Linked DNA regions of Rhinolophus ferrumequinum. The protein of the gene in region 1 interacts with the protein of each later gene in a biochemical or structural test. Links are inferred from orthologs where the notes say so. Each region holds a gene or a part of one and is shown on either strand. Other genes may lie near its edges.

Evidence for each region.
Region 2: the proteins of COPS7A (region 1) and COPS6 form a complex in vitro, tested with the Homo sapiens proteins (3 studies listed by BioGRID, with this or other methods). The link is inferred for Rhinolophus ferrumequinum from reciprocal best matches to the Homo sapiens genes COPS7A and COPS6.

The regions. Positions count from the first base shown.
Region 1 is NC_046293.1:23,927,094-23,935,147, forward strand, and holds the start of COPS7A (COP9 signalosome complex subunit 7a), read left to right. Parts: upstream 1-4,196; 5' UTR 4,197-4,341; exon of another isoform or gene 4,342-4,504; intron 4,505-4,826; 5' UTR 4,827-4,869; coding exon 4,870-5,031; intron 5,032-6,705; coding exon 6,706-6,781; intron 6,782-7,009; coding exon 7,010-7,098; intron 7,099-8,054.
Region 2 is NC_046290.1:90,377,092-90,385,145, forward strand, and holds COPS6 (COP9 signalosome complex subunit 6), read left to right. Parts: upstream 1-3,631; 5' UTR 3,632-3,679; coding exon 3,680-3,746; intron 3,747-3,968; coding exon 3,969-4,094; intron 4,095-4,309; coding exon 4,310-4,441; intron 4,442-4,762; coding exon 4,763-4,851; intron 4,852-4,950; coding exon 4,951-5,013; intron 5,014-5,306; coding exon 5,307-5,354; intron 5,355-5,430; coding exon 5,431-5,545; intron 5,546-5,636; coding exon 5,637-5,729; intron 5,730-5,826; coding exon 5,827-5,927; intron 5,928-6,045; coding exon 6,046-6,186; 3' UTR 6,187-6,300; downstream 6,301-8,054. Other genes in the region: DNA replication licensing factor MCM7, read right to left, coding at 7,445-7,646, 7,823-7,932. UniProt on the Homo sapiens protein: Component of the COP9 signalosome complex (CSN), a complex involved in various cellular and developmental processes.

The DNA.
Region 1 (8,054 bases):
TCACAAACCCAGGAAGTTATTTTATGGATATCAACAATTGATTCTAAAGTTTATATGAAGAGGCAAAGACCCAGAATAGCCAATACAATATTAAAAGAGAAGAACAAAGTTGGAAGACTGACACTACCTGACTTCAAGACTTACTGTAAGGCTATAGTGATAAAGCTAGTGTAGTATTGCCAAAAAAATAAACAAATAGATCAATGGAACAGAATAGAGAGCCCAGAAATAGACCCCCATAAATATAGTCAACTAATCATTAACAAAGAAGCAAAGGCAATACAATGGATCAAAGATGGTCTCTTCAACAAATGGTGCTGGAACAACTGGACATTCTCATGCAAAAAAAATGAATCTAGTCACAGACTTTGAATACACACACAACTTTCAGAAAAATTAAAGTGGATCACAGACCTACATAGACTGGGACATGTAAAATGCAAAACTATAAAACTCCTAGAAGATAACATAAGTACAAACCTAGATGACCCTGAGTATGGTGATGCCTTTTTTAGAGACAACACCAAAGACATGATTGATGAAAGAAATCATTGATAAGCTGGACTTAACTAAAATTTAAAACTTCTGCTCTGAGATAGGCAATATCAAGAGAATTAGAAGACAAGCCACAGACTGGAAGAAAATATTTGCAAAAGGCAAATCTGATAAAGGACTATTAATCAAAATATGCAAAGAACTCTTAAAACTCAATAAGAAAACAGACAATTTGACCCAAACAATGATTTCACCAAAGAAGATATACAGACAGCAAGTAGGTATATGAAAAAATGCTCCACATCTTATGTCATCAGGGAAATGCAAATTAAAACAAGATATCACTACACACCTATTAGCATGACCAAATTCTGGAATACTAACAACACTAAAAGGTGGCCAGGATGTGGAGCAATAGGAATTATACATTGTTGGTGGGAATGCAAAATGGTGCAGCTACTTTGGAAGACAGTTTGGTGGTTTCTTACAAAATTAAACACACTTACTCATGACCCAGCAATCACGTTACTTGGTGTTTACCCAAAGGAGTAAAAAACTATGTACACACACACACACACACACACACAACTGGACATAGATGTTTATAGCAGCTTTATTCATAATTGCCAAAACTTGGAAGCAACCAATATGTCCTTCAGTAGGTGAATGGATAAATAAACTGTGGTACATCCAGACAATGTAATACTATTTGGTGCTAAAAAGAAATTAGCTATCAAGTCATGAAAAGACATGGAGGAAACTTAAAGTGAAAGAAGCCAATCTGAGAAGGCTACATATTGTATGATTCCCACACTATGATATCCTGGAAAAGGTAAAACTATGGAGACAATAAAAAGATTAGTAAGAAAAAAAAAATATTAGTAGGTATCAGGAGTGGGGGGTGGGGAAAGATAAATAGGCAGAGAACATAGAAATTTTAGGACAGTGAAAATACTCTGTGTGATATTAAACGATGGATGTATGTCATACAAACCCACTTATTGTACACCACCAAAAGGGAATCCTTTGGTAAACCATGGATTTTGGATGATTATAATGTGTCAATATAAGTTCATCCTTGGAAAAAAAAAAAGTACCATTCTGGTGAGTGATGTTGATAATGGGGGAAGTTATGCATTGTAGTCACACAGCAGCCTAGCCAACTGTCCCCCCGTGTCTTTCCTTAAGGAAAGAAGAGTCTGTAAGACTGTGCCTTTCTGGGACTCTGTTCCATCCTTGTGTTTACACCTTATGTCTCTCTGTCCGGTCCCCAAAAGATGGTTTGCAGCCAAAGACATAAGATACCTCATGGGAGATACAACCTAAGCCAGGCGGAACCGAGTGGGGACCCCTAATGAGCTGCCTTAGAGAAATATGAAAAGGGGCCTTGCCTCCCCTTCCCCCTGCCTGGGAAAGTCTGTTGCCGGCTCTGGCTTTTCCCTTGCACCTGTTTGTGAGAAAAATCATGAAGACAACAAAGATCAGTTCTCTCACTTATCTCAATGGAGCTGTTACAATATGAGAGACTTGACCCTAAAAAGGTACATACCTTAGGTTAGACATCATGGGACCTTGTGCTTCGGCTGTTTATAGACAAAGGGTGATTGGAATAAACATTTTTCTACTATGATGTATGAGTCTCACAGACCGTGTAAGAAACAATGTTACTTTCTTGTGTTTGTATACCTATCAATAAAAACCTTCAGTCAGCCTTATTCTGGGCTCCAGCCCTCTGAGACTGACAGACCCCTGGCCTTCTGAGAGATTTAACTGCATTAAGTCTCCGTTTGTTTCTGTCTTAAAAACTTAACGCAAACCGCCCCTTCTCGCACCCTCACTGCCCTTGTTGCGCTGGATGCGACAATGCATGTGTAGGAGCAGGGGTTATATGGGAAATCTCTGTTCCTTCCTCTCAATTTTATTGTAAACCTAAAACTACTCTAAAAAAAATAAAGACTTTTTTAAAAGTTTTAAAAATAAAGACCTAATAGAACATAATAGAACATAGTTGGCTCTTTTCTCGTTCTTTCCTCATTTTTTTTCTTTTCCTCTTTAAATTGATAAGATTGAACTCATAATTCTTTGGTTCCTTCAAACTTTGGATATTTTATTATGTCTTTGATTTCTTCTCACTTTTATGTGTCATCTCTTCCATTCATTTCTTCTTTCTCCTCTTCCACCTCTTTCTCCTTCTTCTTTTTCTTCTCTTTCTCTCCTTTCCTATTTCTGCTTCCCATTTTCTTCTAGAAACCACACCATGTGGACCATAAATTTTAAGTTTAAAGTCCCTTCAGCTGCAGTAGTCTACCAGTCTTATGATTTTCTCTTATTTACTGTCCTCTTTTTCCACGTTCTCCTCTTTCATTTACATATAAATTACTTAACTTCCTTGGCTCTCAGATTTTCAATCTGGAAAATGGAAACAATAATAGGTTGTTGTTATAAGCATCAAACGAATTAAGTAAAGCTCTTAGCTCAGTGCTTAACACAAAAGCCTCCAAGACGTCATTAACTTTTATTCTCATCTGAACTTCTGCAAACCCGGTATGAAATATAAAACAGTATAGAAATGTTAGTTAATTTTTTTCCCCTAAAGTATCATGGTGAGCTTTCTGTGCTCACACTCGTCGTGGTGGCACCAGGTGCTCCCCCAACGTGCAGAACGACGCAGGCGAGTTCGTGGACCTGTATGTGCCGCAGAAATGCCCCGCCAGCAACCATATCATCGGCGCCAAGGACCATACATCCATCCAGATGAATGTGTCTGAGGTTGACAAGGTGACAGGCAGGTTCAATGGCGTTTAAAACCTACGCTATCTGTGGGGCCATTCACAGGATGGGTGAGTCAGATGACTCCATTCTCCGACTGGCCAAGGCTGTCAGCATCGTCTCAAAGAACTTCTGACTGGAGAGAATCACAGATGTGGAGTATTTGTCCTAAATAAATAGTGACCCTCCCCCCAAAAAAAAGTATCATGGTGAAGTGGAAAGATGATTTCGGGTTTGAAAAGACTTGAACCCCAGTTTCCTCATCTGTAAAACGATAATAATACATGCCTTCCTTACACCTAGGTTTTTTTCCTCCCCAAAGAATTAAAAGAGTCAATGTTCAGGAAAGCATCACTCTATAAGTACATGTTGTAATCAAGATAGATGGTGTCCAGGAGTCACACTAGGGACGCTGTAGTTATGAGGATTCAATGGGATAAAATTTTAAAAGATGCCTGACTCAATACATGTAAGTTATTTACCTTTTCCACTTCTTTTCTCTTGCTCCTCAAAAAAATGAGTGGTTGAACTACCCAGATGATCTCTGCTGCTAAACTTCTATTATTGATATGGTCTCCTTCCACTCTCCTCCTCAAATCCCGCTTCCCGCCCCTCCCCCCTGTTTTTCCTCCTCTTTTCCCATGACAGCCTTCCTCTCGCCTCAGGGACCCCCGTGCAGCCAGGTCTCCAGATTTCTGGCAGCTTGGAACTGACACAGAACCACCCGGTACCTGCCTGAGATCAGAGGTTCTCTCTACAGTTAGCGTCTAGCGCTGGCCAACAATAAAGTTTTATTGAAACAAAGCACGAAAAAAGCGCCCGTCAGTCTTTCCTCAACAGTCAATCAGAGAGTAGAATGCGTGTGTCGCTCACAGCTACTTCAGCAGTCGGAAGGCGAGAGCGAGGAATATCCCGCCCCAAACCCGCCTAGTAAGAGCGGAAGTGCGGCCGGAAGTCATCCATAGAGTTTAGTGGCCAGAGCGACCCTGCATGGAGGTGGCAGGAAAGGCTCGGAACAGCTGCCGGAGGTGACGGAGCGACGGTCCCGCCCCGTGCTCTGGAAGACGAAGCTTCCAGGTAGCGGCCCGCAGAGTCTATTCCAGGGTACGACACAGCAGTCGGCGGGAGCCCGCGGTCCCGGGGCGGCCTCTTTAAGGGAGGGGGCGGAGCCACGTGGAAGGATCTTGAGGGTGAGGTCACGTGGTTGGGGGCACCTGCGGGACACAAGTGGAGATACGAGGTAGCGTCGTCACTGGGATGGACACCATGTGACACCCATTCCCCCACTGCATCTTGTGCTTTGGGGTTCATTGGGGTGCATGTGGTGGGTTTTGGGGTTAGGCCCAAGTGTGGGAGGAGGGTGGGCGTGGCAACCTTGTATCAGCCAGGCTTCCATCAAAGTGGCCCCGTATTAGGATTCCGAGGTCCGAGCTTTAGACTGCTCCGTCTCTGATTCCTCTTTGCAGAAGTGACTCGGTGCCTCTGCAATCAGCCCCTAGCCCTGTGCTTCCCATTCCCCCACTGTTTAGGGACCTCCATTTTCACATCCTCTTTCCTTTCAGGTCCAGACATCCTGAGCCCAAGTACCCCCAGCTCAGTGCAGCCATGAGTGCCGAGGTGAAGGTGACAGGGCAGAACCAGGAGCAATTTCTGCTCCTGGCCAAGTCGGCCAAGGGGGCAGCACTGGCCACACTCATCCACCAAGTGCTGGAGGCCCCTGGTGTCTACGTGTTTGGGGAACTGCTGGATATGCCTAATGTTAGAGAGGTGGGTCCTGACCTGGATAGCCCACAGGGAAGCTTGGGGCTAAAGTTTGAATTTGAGAATGGGGGGGCAGGGCTCATTTTGTAACCCCATAACCATTCAGTTGAACAAGAATAGGATGATGATTAACTGGCATCTTGCAAGAGTACTAAGTACACAAGTAAGCCTCTTAGTTTCCCTTTGAGGATAAGTGATCTGTGAAACCCGATATTCTTAAGCAAAAGAGCCTGTTATTCAGAATAGGAGACCTGATTCCAGCCTGTCTCCACCAATGTAATAGCCCTTAATAATCATGTCACCTTGATCAGGATACTTTTATTTTAGGGGCTCAGTTTTCTCTTTTAAAAATGGAGCTGATAATGCCCCCTCACCGTTACTATAAAAATCAGATGAAATTATGAGAAAGTGTGAAGTCGGGTATAAATGGAAGGAATGTAACATGAGATTGGCATGCCCTGTACTCCCCTCTTTGCACCATATGCTAATTCACTTAAATTAGATCAGGTAGAAGCTGTCCTTTTTCATAAAGACATGTGGCAAGATGCTAGAAACACAGCATAGAGAACTATTCACACAGACGTGGCAGAGTTAAGAGTTTAAAATCCAGGGTGGGTGAGTCGCCAAGATATATGACACCAGCCCAAGTCCTGAGATGCTATGACAGTGGTATGTGGGCAAACTATGAGTTAAATTGTTGAGGGCCAGTGATTGAGTCAGCGGATTTAGCCTTCTGGGATCACTCTGTGGTACGGAGAAAACTGGCTGCCTTCTTTCCCTGCTTTCCTCTGCAGTGGAACTAAAGATATTCAGTCAAGGTGAAGAAAAAGCACATATTGTATGTATATTTAGCACTCTGCTAGTTGTCTGGGAATGCCAGAAAAGTAAGAGACAATAGAGCTTATCCTTCTGAAACTTACTTCCCAGTTACAGAGATCAGACGAATGGATATACATGTACATATCATTTATTTAGCAAGTATTTATTGAGAGAGCCAACTACATACTTAACTCTGCTAGACCTAAGTGGGATACCAGAGACTAGGTCTATAATCCTGTTGGAAAGAAATACATTCTTAGGTAACAACCTTAGGTAGGGTTTGATTGAATAAGTGCCAGAATGAGTGATCAGTGATAGAAAAGGAGATCTAGGTGGGCTGCCCTGGATGAGAAAGCCCCCTGGGTGAGGCAGGTCTGAAGCAGAGGCCACAAATTCCAATGACTGCCTAGGCCATGTAGCTGTCAGAGATGAGTGAGGCTGAGGCAGGAGTCTGGTGAATAGGGGAGTATAACAAACTGCCTAAAGATAATCAAACTCACAAATATTAAACACACTCTAAGGACCAAACAACACCATTTGCAATGTTGGGTGTGTGTGTGTGTTAGATACTGAACGCTATGAATGTTTTAAACTCTGAATTTAGGGTAGGAATTGGGGGCATATGGAGGAAGAGGGCATTGTAGGTTTGGGGGAGCAGTGTAAGCAAAGGCCTAGCGGTGGAAATGAGGCCTTCCTATGGGGAGAGTGATGAAAGATGCAGACAGTTCCTCTCAGTGAGCTGGGAGAGTTAATGGAGACGAACGATGGGGCCAGAAAGTGGGGTTTGAAACAGGGAAAGGCTGGGAGGAGGTGAACAGAGAGGCCCTTCTTCCTGTCATCTCTTCCCTCATATTCTTGCAGCTGGCTGAGAGTGACTTTGCTTCAACGTTCCGCCTGCTCACGGTGTTTGCTTATGGGACATATGCTGACTACCTAGGTAACCAGAGGGCTGGAGCTCTAGAGTAGTGGAGGTGGGAGAAGGGCATTTTCTGGAGGGACTTAGAAGTTCCTGGGGTACCCTACTTAGATCCCTTAGGTACACAGAGTCTTGGGTCAAGCCTGAATTGGCATGGACAACTGAAAAAAAAAAAAATCAGTGGAAGGAGGCTAGGCCTTCCCACAAGAAGGGAATCAGAATTTCCTATACTTTGTCCTTTTTTCCTAGCTGAAGCCCGGAATCTTCCCCCGCTCACAGAGGCTCAGAAGAATAAGCTTCGACACCTGTCCGTCGTCACCCTGGCTGCCAAAGTCAAGGTGAGTGATAGTTCCCCCAGTCCTGAGCCAAAGAGCATCCTTTTGTATAGCCCTTCACAAGGGCCTGTCTGAAGAGAATTTGTACTTGGACAGCCGTTGACCACACTGTTGCTTCTTTCTGCTTTCCCCGCCATGTCCCTCCAAGGTCTGTATTTGAACTCCATTACCTGCAGCCTTTTAGGCTAAATATTCTCTTAATTTTCTGTTCTTTTAATTTTTTAATCAAATTCTAAACATCTTTAGTTTTGGGTCCAAATAGCAACTAGGATGCCATTCACTGTGTTGTTCAACAATCACCCTCCTCCCCATTATAGAAATTCCCATCCAAACAGCCTCCACGCTCAGAGCTGGGAACACGGTTCTGTCTGCTGGTGGAATACTAGGCTTCTATTTCCTAGAATAAGAAATAATGTAACCTGGAAGTGTCTCTATATTTCCTGTTAGGTTTGGTTTTTCGTTAAATATCCCCCTCCCGCCCATCTGCACTCTCCCAATTGTTACTAGGCTCTCCCGTTGTTTTCATGATTTTACTTAAATCAGGCTCTCTATTGTGAGAAGCCTCTTTGGAAGTACGCAGTGTGTAAATGGTGAACAGTAACTCCGGACCTCTCCCTCACCACACACTCCCATTATGTCAAGCTGATCTTGACCAAGGTCTGAGTGCTACCTTGAGCTGTGGCCAGAGGATTGACACCCACGTAGAGGTCACTTTCTTCCTCTGTGGTGTGGGAGGTAAGGATGGGAGGAGAGCATAAATCTTCCATTTTAAGATTGTCCTTCTCATGCTATTATTTTTCAGGTGGGAATACTTTTATTTATTTTGCTTTAGAACCAACCTTTTAGAAGACATATTTAGGAGTAGGAGGGGAGGGTAGGCAGGGGAGCCTAGGCTGGGGAAAGGAAGGAAGAAGAATGTTGGAAGCCTCTCTCTGCAGCAGAACCTCACAAATCCCAGC
Region 2 (8,054 bases), on another chromosome or scaffold:
CTACAGCCAAGCCACAAGGGAGCCTAGGGCATGCTAACTTAATTCTGGTCTAGTCACAGCATTTTCTTATTGTTTTGACATGGTTCGAGATCATTTGATTAAGGACACTGTTCTCCAGCTTTCTTATAGTGGCCCACACAGGCTGTGGCAGGCTGAACAAGATCCCCCAAAGATATCCAGGTATAATCCTTGGAACTTGTGAAGGTTACTTTATATGGCAAAGAGGATTTTACAGGTATGATTAAGTTAAGGATCTTCAGATGGGGAGATTATCCTGGATTATCCTAGTGGGCACTAAATGTAATCCCAAGTATAAGAGAGGGGTAGGGAGAGATTTTACTAAGAAGGCAATGTGGTGATGGGAACAGAGGGACAAAGATATATGAAGATGCTGCTGAAAACACTGGATTTGAAAATGAGGAAGAGGCCATGATCCAAGTAATGCAAGGAATGTAGTTCCAGAAGCTAGAAAAGATGACAGGAAACTAATATATAGGTCAAGGTGGAGGGTATAATGGTCTTTGCAAATTTTGTAAAAATGCCCTCTTTCACTCACACCTGACCCTTCTGGACAAAAGGTCTGTATGCAAATAGGGGATAATTGGAGAAAAAGCTACTAGGATGTGACACACCAATTTTGTGGCCATAGAAGAAGAGCAATAACCCAGCAACTGGAAAGGGAACACCTTAGACCCAGGAGGTGCAGGGAGGTGGGAGGAGGATCCCTTAACGTTCTCTTTGTCGTCTAGATCTAGCACCACCGCAGCCTAGCAAGCCCATCCCGTGGCTACCTGAGCTAGGCAGCAGCTCTGGCTGGATTTGCCAGCACTGAAACTCCTCCTTGTGAACACCTCTCCCCATTCCATCTGCATGCTGACACACAGACCAGCACAACCTTGTTTCAAACCCACTACTACAAATTCATGCGCTTCTCCTGAGGCCCAAGTGTCCTTGAGTCAGCAAATCCTATTAACTCTACTTTCCAAATGTATCCTGAATTCAATCAGGACTCACAGGTTTTGCCCTGTCCAGGGCAGCTGGGTGAAGGGGCAAGTGGGGACTGAAACCCAGCTTGAGCTTAGAAGGGACATCCTTTTCTTTTTTTGGAGAACTTTTAAGATTTCCTCTCTTAACAACTTTCAAATATGCAATACAGCACTACTAACTATAGCTGCTGTACTAGAGACTTTTTCCAATACACACCAGGGCATGTGGATAGCTACAGGCCTGAGTCATCTCCTACCTCTGCCTCTACTGCCCAGGTCCAAACCATGGTCATCTCTCACCTGGATTAGGACAATAGCTCCAGTTTTCCATGCTTCTATGTCCCCTACCATCCATCTAACCTCCATGCATCAGCCTGAGTGACCCTTTACAGCCTTGAGTCAAATCAAGTCATGTGTCTGTTCAGACTGAAAGCCAAAGCTCACGAGTCCTCACCTGGTCTGACCCTGTTACCTCTCTGATTTCATTTCATCTCAGTCCTTCAGTCCCCACTTGCCCCCTCACTCAGCTCCAGTCATTGGCTTTCTCATTATTCCTGGAACACATCATGCATTCTCTTGCCCAAAGACCTTCGCACTTGTTCCATTTGGAATACTCCTCCTCCAGCTCTCCTTACACCTTGCTCCCTGACTCCATTCTGGTCTTCCCTTCCATGTAAAACACCACCCCTCGAATCCCTTTTAATATCCTTATGTGTGCTTATTGTCTGTTTCTTACAACTCGAGTGTAAGCTTCATGAAATCAGAACTTGGTTGTGTTCAGTGCTGTAACCCCAGCACCTGGAATTGTGCCTGCTGCATAGTAGGCACTCCTAAATATTTTTTAAGTAAATGAATGAATGATGGATGGGTGGATGGATGGATGGATAATCACTGACCCCAAAGAGTAGAATTTCTTGATAACACCACAGATTCAAAGCAATCGGTGACTCAGTCTGTGTTCTTTCCTGGAGGGCCTTCCCTTCAGTCCTTGGTATCTTCTTTGCTGACTCTCTGAGCAGCTATTCCCCACCAGCCCAGTTACCTCCACTCTGTGGAAGGAAAAGTTAGCAAAACAACAAAATGATGCATTGTGTTTAATTTTGTTGGAAGGTAGAAAGAGAACTGTGGGATAAGTTGCCTTAACACAATTTCAACTTGAGTTTTTGTTAGTAGATTTTTAATACAATGCACTTTTAAGAAATGCTCAGTGAGCTTACTTCCAAAGCATGTATAATCAACTGATTCAATTTCAAAATCATCCTTGAATTTCACAATAACCACTGTTTTATGGGTTGTATAATTATCTGAGCAGTTTCAAAAGCATTTGAAACAACAAAAAGACAAAGAAGTACTTTAATGTGTGAAACAACAACACCAACTGTCAACTTTATTAACCCTAGAATAATTCTTGTCTTTATTTTAGCCTTCAATCTGAGAAACTCCTTAAACGTTGCCTATCATGTAAAAGAGATAGATTTTTCTGACCTCATTTTCCCTAAAATGGCACATATGCTTTTCTTCCATTACTGTCTCAGTTGGCTGGAATGTTTTTCACTGGAGATTAGAATGAGATAAACTCTTTCTCAACTTCCCCTTGGCCAGAAGACCCCTATCCCTGCAGGATTTCTCAGGCCTCTTCCTTTGAGTGTTGCTGGCCCTTCAACTTTCCTTTATCCAGGTTCCTAAGTGGAGAGGTTACTTAATTCATGTAAGTTATTATTATCACTAGAAAACATCTCCAGTACCTGCTAGTTCTGGGCACCAGAATAGGCTCGTGGGGTCCAGAAACAGGTCTCTACCTGCTTTCTAGAGCTTACATTTTGGGTGGGGTACAGACACATATTAAAAAGCCAACCAGACATGTTGGGGCAGCAGAAGGGGTAAAGGCGGTGTACACAATTTGCGTACATGGAAGAGTGGGGAGAGGGCTGGAGTGGTCTCTTTGCCAGAGGTGAGATTTACGGAGATGGAGAGCACAGGGAGCGTGGAAGGGGTTAGGAGATTCTGGGGATGCCCCTAATACTGTTGTTAATACCATTATTTGGGAGGAGGAAAGATAGGACTTGCAGAGAGCTACTCAAGACCAGGCTCCACCCCAAAGTATTCATCCATTTACTCAAAAATCATTTAGGTACCCGTGTCAGGTACCGTGTTGTCTTAGGGGTTATAATGATGAACATGACAAAAGGCCCTTGCGTTAGTGGGGCGTGTTAAAAGAACAGGTGTGAGAGCTAGCGTGGCTGAAACATGGGGACCAGGGGGCAGAAAAGGCCAGGGCCCATTGACAAGCAGGGGCCGAATCATACAGGGCCTTGCAGGCCGCGGTTAGCAGCTTGGATTTTATTCTGAGGGCAATAACATGACATTTCATTCATTCTGTAATAGACTTAGGGACTAGGCAATCTTAATCGAATTCTGCTGACGAAGACGGAAAGGTTGGGGTAGGGTTAAGTAATTTGTTTAAGGTCAGTCGCAGACGAGAGCCTGGGTCAGGGTCTAGGAAAATCTGTCGGCTTCAGGGCCATGCGGGCGTCGGACTTTTGCCGCCGGAGGGCTGCGGGCGGACACCAGGCAGGTAGGACAGCCGCTGTCTTGCGCCAGAGCAGGCGCGCGCCCCGGGGACGATGCGCATGCGCCGCCACGGACGGAAGCCGGGAAGGGGGGCGGGGCCGAGGCCGGCGGGCGCGGGGAAAATGGCGGCGGTGGCAGCTGCGGCGAACGGGACTGGGGGGAGCAGCGGGATGGAGGTGGATGCAGCAGGTAACGGGCCCCGCGGGGGCGGCTTCTGGAGACGGCCTTCGAGGTGCGTTAAGGCCGCCTTCCTGGATCTCAGGAGAGGTCAGGAGGGTGGACGGTAACATCGCTCCCTGGGATAACTTGCGGGAGGGATATATGGCCCGGCTCTGCCATCTCCCACTCCCGTCTCCTGGGAAGGGCGTGGGGCCCGGAGTCTCACTCTCTCTCCTTCTCCTCCACCTTTAGTAGTCCCCAGCGTGATGGCTTCCGGAGTGACTGGGAGTGTTTCAGTTGCTCTTCATCCCCTGGTCATTCTCAATATCTCAGATCATTGGATTCGCATGCGCTCCCAGGAGGGGCGGCCTATGCAGGGTGAGTGTTCAGCCTAATTCTGCAACCTCCTTTCGTTGGTCACCTCCACCAAACAGTGGTCTGTTCTCCTTCTTTTCCTGAAGATAATCCTTCCTCGGCCAAATCACCATTTCCCCTGTATTTAGTTCACATTGACTTCACACCCTCCAGCTGTAATGATTAGGTAAGTTTTGGGATTCTTGCCTCTCACCCCTGTGTGTCCTTCTCTTCCCCAGTGATTGGGGCTCTGATCGGGAAGCAGGAGGGCCGAAATATCGAGGTGATGAACTCCTTTGAGCTGCTGTCACACACCGTGGAAGAGAAGATTATCATTGACAAGGAATATTATTACACCAAGGAGGAGCAGTGTGAGAGGGGAATAGAAGTGGAAGAGAGGAGTGGGAGGAAAAAAAAAAGCAGAGTGGGGAAGATGGAGAGGGTTGGGGAAAAATAAACAGGACATGGGATGAGAACGGTGGGAAAGTGGAGTACCTGAAGAAATCTCAGAAAAAGAACACATTCGGGTATTCTGCCCCAAAAAAATGAAGGATGAGAGAAGAAAATAACCATTCTAAAATGAACCGGGATTTGAGGGGAAGGAGAGAAGCTGGTGAAAATACACCAGGAGCTTCAAATTAAGGAAGGATGGTTTAAAGAAATACTTTGTGCTCTGGCCCCTTCCTCTCCAGTTAAACAGGTATTCAAGGAGCTGGAGTTTCTGGGTTGGTATACCACTGGGGGGCCACCTGACCCCTCCGACATCCACGTCCATAAGCAGGTATACGTGCTCACACATGTGCATGCTGGGGTAAAGAATAGAGGATGAGGGAGAGAAGAAAGATGGGCAATACACTTATCCATCATCCCCCTCTTCCAGGTGTGTGAGATCATTGAGAGCCCCCTCTTTCTTAAGTTGAACCCCATGACCAAGCACACGGATGTGAGTAACACTGACCCAATGCCCATTTGGTCATACTTGTCTATCGCTATGCTTATCTTTTTTACTCATCCCCTGCTGTCTTTTACTGTGTGACATCTCTGTTGAATTGAATCTTCATTCTGCCATTTATCAGCTATGTCTTTGGATTAACCTGCATTTTTCTTATGTGTAAAACAGCGATAATCTGTCCTTCATTGGCCCTTCAATGTGAAACTGCCAATCCCAATTTTTGGCACATAGTATAGTTTCAGGTGGATTTGATGTAAGAGCTGTTCTCCATCTCTTCTTTACAGCTTCCTGTCAGCGTTTTTGAGTCTGTCATCGATATAATCAATGGAGAGGTAATGCCCTACCCTTCAACCCTCAGATCCTGCCCCTGATGTTTCCCGCTTTTGACTCTCCCTATGTGTCCTGTAGGCCACAATGCTGTTTGCTGAACTGACCTACACCCTGGCCACAGAGGAAGCTGAACGCATTGGTGTAGACCATGTCGCCCGAATGACAGCAACAGGCAGTGGAGAGAACTCCACGGGTAATGGAGGCTGGAGGGGCATACTTGGAAGTGGGGGTGGAAGGTGTAGCCACAAGCCTTTTCAACCGTGGCCTGTCCCTGCCCCCTGCAGTGGCTGAACACTTGATAGCACAGCACAGCGCCATCAAAATGCTGCACAGTCGCGTCAAGCTCATCTTGGAGTATGTCAAAGCCTCTGAAGCAGGTAGGACGGGGACTCCCTGGCACTCCTACCACTTTTCCACTCCCTCCTGGGGAAGTGACAACATCCACATTAATGCATCCTCTCTTTGTACCTTTAGGAGAGGTCCCCTTTAACCACGAGATCCTGCGGGAGGCCTATGCTTTATGTCACTGCCTCCCGGTACTCAGCACAGACAAGTTCAAGACAGACTTTTATGATGTGAGTGTTAAAACCCAGGAAGGTGGGTGGGGCTTATGCTATCATTTCTGCATGCAGGACATAGGACTCAGGTGTTCCCTGGCATGTGAGGGACCTGGATCTTTCTGTTCCCTCCCAGCAATGTAATGATGTGGGGCTCATGGCCTACCTTGGCACCATCACCAAAACGTGCAACACCATGAACCAGTTCGTGAACAAGTTCAACGTCCTCTATGACCGACAAGGCATCGGCAGGCGGATGCGGGGGCTCTTCTTCTGAGGGTACTTGAAGAGATGACGCACAGGGGTCAGAACTGTCCCAGAGGGGAGAGGTGTTCCACTCCCCTTAGAGAAACCTGTCATTAATAAAAGGGGAGTGCCCCCTCAGCACCCCTTCCAGTGGCTCTGTCCTCTGTTAGGCACCACATAGGTTTCTCACTTGGATGTTAGGCTCTCGGTTCCAGCCTTGCTCAGAGGCATGAGTCCCATTTTATCATCAGTTCTTCTCAACACCTTTCAGTGGTTGGGAGCTCACTGCCACTTGAAGTGACCCCAAGTCTGGTCAGGTAGACTGTCTATATTGAGCCAAAGGCTGCCTGCTTCCACCTAAGCAATGGGTTTTGCTCTTTAGTATCTCCCTGTAAACAAATGACCCCTTTCCCAAGCTTAGTTTTTCACACACAAAAAGAGATTGGGAGGGAGCGGGATATTAAGCACATTTCTATGAGGGACAACTGAGTCTTGATCCTATAGCGAGCACTGAGTATTGCCAAGAGGGAGATGTTTCCCAATTATTGCTAATGTTTGAGTGCTTGCTACAGAATATGTACCTGACCCAGCAGGCACCTCAGCCAGCCCTAGGAGGCAGATACTAGTGTCCGTATCATTTTAGAGATGAGGCCAGGGGGTGTAAACATGAAGACTGTTCTATGCAATTACTTGTGCCTCCCTCCAGGTCCTTGATTTTCATCCCCTAACCAGGCCTTTCAAGTTGTATTTGGGGACGAAAGAGGTGTGAGTACTGAGGGGTCTGTTGGAGGCATTTTGGAAGGTAGACATGGAGTTGGCTTAGAGGCTGTTTCATACTGGCAGCTGTATCCCCAGAACTAGAAGGGAGCACAGCAGGAGACTCAGTATACATTTGAATCTGGAGGGGAGTAAGAGCAGGCAAGGGGTCAGAGTGGAGATGCAGTGCGACCCGCTGTACAGCGGCGTTTTCATTCCTTGCTGCGTTCCCAGTGTCTGTCTTGGTAGCTGGCAGGGAGAGTAGGTAGTTCATACATTTATTGAGTAAATGAAGACGAGTATAAAAGGAATAAGAGATGAATCTATAAAATGTACAATACCCAGTTTTATTAGAAGGAGGCAATCTACACACACTTTATTAGCAAAAGGAATGTATAAAACAAGTGCAGCTCAGGAAAACGGGGGTGAGGGGTGTCCTCCTTTCCCCTCAAGGGCATCGTTAGACCTTTAAAGGAAGGGGGGTGTTTAGCACGGTACGCAGAACAGACCCCAGTATCTCAAGTGGGCTGGAATCAGACAAAAGTGATCCGTGTCCGGGCAGTATTAACCTGCCAGACATTTAACTCCTCATACTCATCTAGAGCTGCCTGGAACTGGGCAGGTGTGAAGCCCCGGGATATGCAGCGCTGCTCTGCCTCAGAAAACCGGACACTTCGGCCCTCTGCGACCAACTCACGGACAGTGGCAAATATCACATCTGCTGGTCTCTGGGTCCTGAAGGAAACAAGTGTGGATGTGTAAGGTCAGGGCTACCGACAAGAGCACCCAACATGTCAGAACAGTGGAATTCTGAGGCAATCATACATGTGGTTGCAGAAGCCACAAGGATAAGTGGTCTGCTCAGGAAAGTCAAGGTGACTCCTGATTTCCTTCTCCATTAAACCACTCACCTAGCTGTTTGTCCTTTGTCACTCAAAAGTGAGTCCTTTGACATCTCCATTAGCCTGATGGCTTCATTCACATCTTCCTTCTCCACTGTGTCCACCATTCGCAGACGTGCCTAAGGGGAAGGTAGGGAGAGATGGGAACGGGAGGAGGGGAGTGGAATAGTCAGGGGACCCCCGTGTTTCAGCTTTAAGGCTGGGCAACTCATGGGGTGCCTACGCACAAAACAGGTGGAGG